Linked DNA regions of Cricetulus griseus. The protein of the gene in region 1 interacts with the protein of each later gene in a biochemical or structural test. Links are inferred from orthologs where the notes say so. Each region holds a gene or a part of one and is shown on either strand. Other genes may lie near its edges. The genes, in order: Thbs1 and Plg.

Evidence for each region.
Region 2: the proteins of Thbs1 (region 1) and Plg form a complex in vitro, tested with the Homo sapiens proteins (2 studies listed by BioGRID). The link is inferred for Cricetulus griseus from reciprocal best matches to the Homo sapiens genes THBS1 and PLG.

Annotation. Positions count from the first base shown.
Region 1 is NC_048599.1:60,393,040-60,396,540, forward strand, and holds part of Thbs1 (thrombospondin-1), read right to left. Parts: coding exon 3,412-3,501; intron 3,278-3,411; coding exon 3,159-3,277; intron 1,592-3,158; coding exon 1,357-1,591; intron 1,171-1,356; coding exon 943-1,170; exon of another isoform or gene 927-942; coding exon of another isoform or gene 904-926; intron 773-903; coding exon 501-772; intron 176-500; coding exon 78-175; intron 1-77. UniProt on the Homo sapiens protein: Adhesive glycoprotein that mediates cell-to-cell and cell-to-matrix interactions.
Region 2 is NC_048595.1:288,586,625-288,590,453, forward strand, and holds part of Plg (plasminogen), read right to left. Parts: intron 2,958-3,829; coding exon 2,851-2,957; intron 1-2,850. UniProt on the Homo sapiens protein: Plasmin dissolves the fibrin of blood clots and acts as a proteolytic factor in a variety of other processes including embryonic development, tissue remodeling, tumor invasion, and inflammation. In ovulation, weakens the walls of the Graafian follicle.

The DNA.
Region 1 (3,501 bases):
AAAAAAATCTCATTATGGTCTTATCCTTTGAGCCTATTCGGTGTGACTACAGTGAAATCTAATCACTGGGAGCTTACCTGATGTAACCTGTCTTTGGCCTGTGGCTGAGACGCCATCTGTAAGCAGTGAAATCCTTCCAGCCTATGTGACGAGGGTCATGCCACAGGGTGCGCACCTGAAGGAAAAGGACCAGAAAAGGTTGAAACATAGCTCCCTCTGAAGACTCACATTTCATTCCACAAGAAACTGCTTAAAAGGCACCGAGTTGACCTGTATTTGGAGAAGGGGCAGTAGGGAGTTTTCCCCAAGGTATCTCTGATTTACTGTGTGCCTTTCAGTGACTATAGAGCAGAGAGAAGACAAGGAAAGGAGGGCTTTGTTTGAAGTGGCTGAAGCCACCTGAGGATTTAAAGGGGACCTCTTGGCCAGAGCCCACTCACTTCTCCTGTTCCCCACCAAGGGCCCATCAACTCTTCCTTCTAGACTATGTGGCTTCTTACCTGGCCAGGGGTGTTTCCTGTGTGCCACAGAGCATTCCGCAGGTGCTCGCCAGGCCCTGTGGTGGAATTCACAACCTTTACAGACAGGCCTGAATATCCCTGAGCCCTTGTGGGGTTGGTGTCCCAGTAGGACTGGGTAACTTGTTTCCACATCACAACATAGAAGCGGCTGCTGGACTGGTAGCCAAACACAAAGCCAGCATAGTCGTCATCTCTCTCAGTGTTGATGAAGAAGGTACCACTAAAGTCCACGGCATTAAACTCATCATAACCTGGAAGGCAAGGCCAGAGTCAGGTTAAAGGCTGTGGCTTTTACAGGGTTCTCCATTATGTTCCCAGATCTCCTGAGGTCATAGGTCCTATCCATAGGTTCAATGGTCATAATTCATATTTGTCTCCTTAGGATGTATTCGCCTATGGAACTAAGGAACTCACTACTCACCTACAGCAAGACCAGGATCACAGTTTACAGTTTGGACAAGTTCTTTGCCCTGATGGCGTACAACCCAGTTAGGGTCATTCTGGGAGGTTCCTTTGGGATCCAGAGGAATCATCTGGAACCGGCGGAAATCGGTTTCACTGATGTCAACATTCTCAGGACAGATGTCATCAATGTCTGGCACATTATCATGGTCAAAGTCATCTTTGCAGGCATCACCTCTGCCATCACCTAATGTCAAAGAAGGCAAAAAGTTCAGTGAAGTTCTGAAATGCTCTTATCAGTGGCTCACAAATTCACCATCTTGTCAAAAAACTGGTGTTGTGTTACTTAACCCTCTCATATGCTGTTTTTATTTCTTCCGTTACACAGCTAAGGTGTCAGTTTTGCTATTCAGTGGTGATCACAGTGACTCACCATCAGAGTCCTTCTGGTCAGGATTGGGCACCAGCCTGCAGTTGTCCCTGTCATCAGGAATGCCATCGTTGTCATCATCGTGGTCACAGGCATCTCCTTTGCCATCTTTATCATGGTCAGCCTGGTTGGCATTAGGCACGTAGGGACAGTTGTCCATATTATTCTGATGGCCATCCTCATCAATGTCCTGATTGTTGTCACAGGTGTCCCCAATGAGGTCTGAGTCAGAGTCCAGCTGGAAGAGTGACATTAATAGTGGGTGAATCAAATAATAACACACTAGGGTCAAAGGTAGCATCAATGCCCCCGGGGCAGGGAACATTCTCCATGTTGGACATAGACAGTGGGGATCATTTTTACCTCTCTATTACTGCAGAAAAACCATCAAGTTTTAAAGAGGGTTTTATCTTGAAAATTGAGGTAATAGTTAATATTTGAAAATATGCACAAGAAGGCTTTCTAACTAGCACAGAATTATTTGTAAATCACTCCAGGGAATGCAATGTTTATTGTTTATACTTAAATTTTAAATGAAATCCCCTTATGTACATTTTGTAATTTCCCATTAACACTAACAGCATAATTATTGACAGGTCAACTTATACTCCAGGCCTTGAATCATGGCAGCTGTCTGTCTATGCAGACTGTCTGCATAATATGGATGAGATTAATTTTTTTTTTATTTTTGAGGCACTTGGCTTTCTACATCTATTCAATAAAGATTTCATCTGTTGGCTCAGATAAACTCAAACTCTAAAATTTTTTCAAAACAGATTTTCCAGAGTACTTAGGATTCAATATGTGTGAGGTGCTTAGGGACTGTTTATATAAAAACTGGATGTTTTCTTGCCAGTAGTCAAATTCTTTGCTTTTGAGATTTTTCTAGGGTGTTTGAATTTGCTTATAAAATTTAATCTGAGGAATCAAAGACCCATTCAGTGAGGTTAAATGCTATTTAATATGTTGAATGTCTGGCAGACCCAAATTCAGAGCAGGGATCTCAGTGCCAAGTGACCAGCGGAGACTACAGGGCACTGAGGGTTTCCTATGATGATAGCTTGAAGTCATCTTGCTTTGAGCATGATTCAAGTTCACAATTAGGAGAAACTTAAATTCTCATTTCTATAATCCTTAAAATTTTCTGTTTAAGTGTCTGATTGCTAAACCTTTCAGAACCATCATATTAGGAAAAAGAAAGCTTGCTGTGTGTGTGTGTGTGTGTGTGTGTGTGTGTGTGTGTGTGTGTGTGTGTGTGTTTTCCCCTAGAAACAATGTACAATGACACAAAGTGAAACACTCTGGTCCTGAGAACTTGTGTGTTGACACCCATCCACACCACCCGGGGCACCTACAGCTGCACTGCTGGGAGGAGCCTGAGAGGCTGGGTTCACTGGGAGACTGGGAGAAATCAGACTTCCACCAGCTTTGAGAGGTTTTTAGCTTCCTGATTTCTTATCAGACTCTGCTGCTAGCCACAACACGGGCTTATTTCACTTCTGGATACTGCCTTCCTCTGTTTTACATGCATCAGATACAACTGAAACTGTGGGTCTCAGATCTTTGTGTAATTTATCTTAATGATGGCAGCAAACAAGACTGAGGCCACAGAACTTCCATCCTAATCTCTGGGAGAGTTTGCCAAGGGCTCATATCAGGCAACCTTTACAGGCATGCATTGCAAATGGGGGATCCTGAGAACCCCAGTGATGGGAGGGTTTGGAGTTTATTGAACTAACTGTTTTAGAGGTGTACAAAGGGAGACACAATTCCTCACTGAGAGATTCTGGAAGGAGTTCACCTACCTGGTCTGGATTGTGTTCCAGGGGGCAGTTGTCACACTGATCTCCAACTCCATCCATGTCGGTGTCCCTCTGGTCCACATTGTACACATACTGGCAGTTGTCTCGTTCATTGAGGATTCCTAAGGAGGGGGGTGTAGATGGGAGCTGAGTCCTTCAGCCACATATATTTCAACTAAATCACACATTAAGCCACTGAGTAAACTGTTTGTGTCTCTGTAAACTTTTTAGGCTGCCAAGGCAGGGAATGCCTTACCATCTCCATCGATGTCCACAGCACAGGCGTCTCCCTCTCCATTGTTGTCTGTGTCTGCTTGGTCAGGGTTGTGGTTGTAGGGGCAGTTGT
Region 2 (3,829 bases), on another chromosome or scaffold:
CTTGGGGAATCAGGCATGGCTGAGTCCAACACTGCGGTAATGAGATGATGATAATGGTGATGGTGGAGGCGATGACTGTGAGGGTGCTAGGCATCCTGTGATGGTGAGGTGGAAATGTTGATGGTGATACAGATGATGGTGATGGCAGAGATGCTGATGCTGATGATGTGATGGAGACACCAGTGGTGAAGGAGTGGTGTCTATCAGAATGACGACAATGATGATGGAGAGGGTATGGTGATGCCGTGGTGATGCCATGGTGATGATGGTGGAGACGGTGATGATTGTGGTGGTGATAGATTGTGAAACAGAAATGTTGCTGATGATGGTGACAGTAATAATTGTAACAGTGATGTGGAAGTACGGGGGTTGATGATGATAGTTGTGGTGGGGCCTGGAGAGATGGCTCAGAGGTTAAGAGCACTGACTGTTCTTCCAGAGGTCCTGAGTTCAATTCCCAGCAACCACATGGTGGCTCAAACTATCTGTGACGAGATCTGATGCCCTCTTCTGGCTTGCAGGCAACATGCAGAGAGAATAATAAATAAATCTTTTTAAAAAAATAGATAATAGTTGTGGTGTTGGTAGTAGTGATGGTGATGATGAGCCTGAGGCAAAGATACTGATGGTGATGATGGCAATGGAGATTATGGTGCTAGTGGTGGTGATGATAGTAATGATGATATATTAATTATAGAATAATATTAACACCCACAATGACCTTATAAAGTAGTATAGATGTGGACACTGATTCTTAAAGAAGTTAGCTAACTTCTCAGTGTCACAGGGACACTGAGCTGGAGTTTACTACCAGATACTTAGGAGTTTAGATCCATCTTTAACCGAGATACTTTCCATGTTTCTGTGAGCAAATACATGATCAAAAGGGAGGAATATTTCTTTTGGTTTATGGTTCCAGTGTAGCCTCTCATGGAATGGCAACAGCTGAGTTTGCAACTGTGCCAGGGGGCTGCTTGCTCACATCTTGGTGGATCAGGAAACAGAAAAAGGGTAGGACTGATGCTCACGGGTTACCTCCCTTTACCCTTTTAATTAATCTGGGCTTCCAGATGTGGGTGAATCTCCTCTCCTTAGTTAAACCCCCCTGGAGATGCTCTCACAGATATGCCCAGAGTTGTGTCTCACAGGTGATTCTAATCAAGTTGACAGTAAAGATGGATCACAAAGTTGATTTTTTTTCTGGCTCCTTAGCAGTCTTTCACCCAACATTCCAGAGGCCTGCAGAGGGACCTACTCTTCGTTCCTCCTGAGTATGAGTGGTCCTCACCCCCAGCTCTAGACCAGACCATGTAGCATAGGTCTGAGCCAGGTGTAACTGTTTCAGAAGTAGCTCATGACCAGAGTCTGAACTGTCCAAGCTAGGCAGGTAATTGTTGCCACTGGGAGAAAAGGGACATCCTTCATTCCCAATGGCAGAGCCAAAATTGACTCAACATGTGCAGCTGCAAGGAAGGCAATCCCCTGTGTGGCCAGAGTGACACCTAGGTGGTGCTGGACAGAGCCTAAGGCCTGGTCCATCACAAAAGCCAAGTGACTGCCTAGGCCATTAGGAATTCCCTTAATTTTGCTTAATTCAACTTAAGTTGCATTTTCTGTGGTTTACCAGAAGGAGTCCCATTGGCTACAACTGTGCTCCATCTTCAAGAGTGACATCTATGCCGCACGAACACCCAACACTTTGTTCACTTTCTCACTGCTTCCCCCACGACAGCCCTGCAGATGCTCTCAGTCTAGGACACTGTCAGTGGGATGTCCCTAATTATCCACAGCTGGTGAGTGGGAACCTGGGCTCCTCTCCAGGTCTCTGTAGTCAGGAACAGGCCTTTGTCCCTGCTGCTGTGTGACCACATGTCTCTGAGCACCAGGTTCCTCATTCACACAAAGGAGTGATTTTTTTTTTTTTTTTTTTTTTTTTTTTTTTTTTTTTTTTTTTGCAAAGCACTAAGAACAACCTCGCACTTCCTTGGGGAACATATCAGTTACCCAGGTTTCCCTTCCTTGACCTCAGTGCTACAGAATCATAAGTGTGCTGAGGAAGAGTAGAAATCAGTGCAATGAGGGGAAGCCAGGTTTGGGATGATGTAGACTAGTGGGTCTGCGTGTGTGTGTGTGTGTGTGTGTGTGTGTGTGTGTGTGTGTGTGTGTGTGTGTGTGTGTGTCTGCTTGTGCACAAAATCTTTCTTTGAAAAAAAGACTTCTCCAGAGGATGGAGCCAGCACACTCCCCAATGCTCCTGAGAGGGAGGCCACGTTTGTAAGGTGCTCTTACTGTCCCCAAGGCAGCTTGCTGGGTTAATTATCACTAGGCATATGCAAAGAGAGAAGGAGAGTCCCTAAAGTAAGTACACATCGTGATAGTGGGGCCTGCATGAAGTTTCTTTCCAGCCCTGACCCTATCAGCTGTATCTAGACAGCTGGGGCCTTTCTGTCCTCCCCACACTGTCCATTTGTCCCCTGTCTAACTGCCTCTCACACACATTAAGTATGTGAGTATTTGGGGGGACAATTAGTTTAACTACAACTTTTGCTGTTATTATGTTAACTCCATATTTGAGAACTCAAAATAGTAAAGTCACACGAAAAGTGCAGGCTAATTGGCAGGTTATGCCAAAGCCTCTCCCCTGAGGAAAAGATGCTTGCATTGCAACTGTAAGTTAAGGGTCTAAGGAGCAGCCCTTTTCCTCACAGTTTGGTGACTGTGGAGATGTAGCAAGTGCCCAGACAAATCCAGAAAGGAGCTGGACCACATTCACATGCAGGACTTTGCGCAACTTGCTCTAAATTGTTCCCTTTGTCATATAGTCTGTAGGTCAAAGCCACTTTATCTCACCTTGAGTGTCTCCCCAGCCAGTGATGTAACATAGTGTCCGGTCAGCAACCACGTAATTTGGAGATGGCAAACAAGCTGGAATGACTTTATTGGTGATGGTGGCAGGGCTGAAAGGTAAGCATCAAATGTTACAGCAACTGCTCTGCGAGAGGCTTCCACCCTTCACCTGCAGATCCCTGGCAGCCAAGCATCACCTGTCTCAATGTCCCAGCATTCTCTGAGCTGTTTTTCTTTACTTCATTGACATAGAACAATATAGAAAACCCTTCATCCTCACACTGCCCTACAGTGCCCTGTGAGCTAAATGATCAATTGTATGGGAGGGTATGTATGTTCATGCACATGTGTCCACACAGGTACCAAAGGCACACTTGGGCATTTGCTGATAGAGGCCAGAGGCTGACATCAGGAGTCTTCTTCGATTGCTCATCATTTGAGACAATATCTTCCACTGAACTGGAGTTCACTGAGTTGGTGAGACTGGCTGCAGTGAGCTGCAGGGATCCTCCTGTCTCTGCCAAGCTTTTTACATGATTCTGGAGATTTGAGCTTGGGTCTCCATGTTTGAGTGGCAGGCACTTTACCAACTGGGGCCATTCTGGGAGTGAACCATCTGGATGCCACTCAGCTACACTAAAACCAAAAGGCATTTGGCCTGGACAAGTAGTTCCACCTTTTGGGGCCCCAAATCTCCTCACCAGTTAAAATGGTTATAAGAATCCAGGCAAATGGTGTGCACCAAGCAAGAGTGGGTTCCAAGTAAGCTTTTTGCAGAAGCAAAATGGCCCAGTTTTCATCTGTATAGAGGTTCGTGGATTCACAAGCGCCTTTTCAGAACTTAGTGAGTTTTTCAGCCCTTAGTGGAGTTCAAGAGGAAAAAGGACTGGAAATGAGAAATGCCTTGTCCTCATGGAGAATCCACACTGTCTCTAGCTTCAGAGCAGACACATTTTCCCAATGACCAAAGCAGACCCAACCT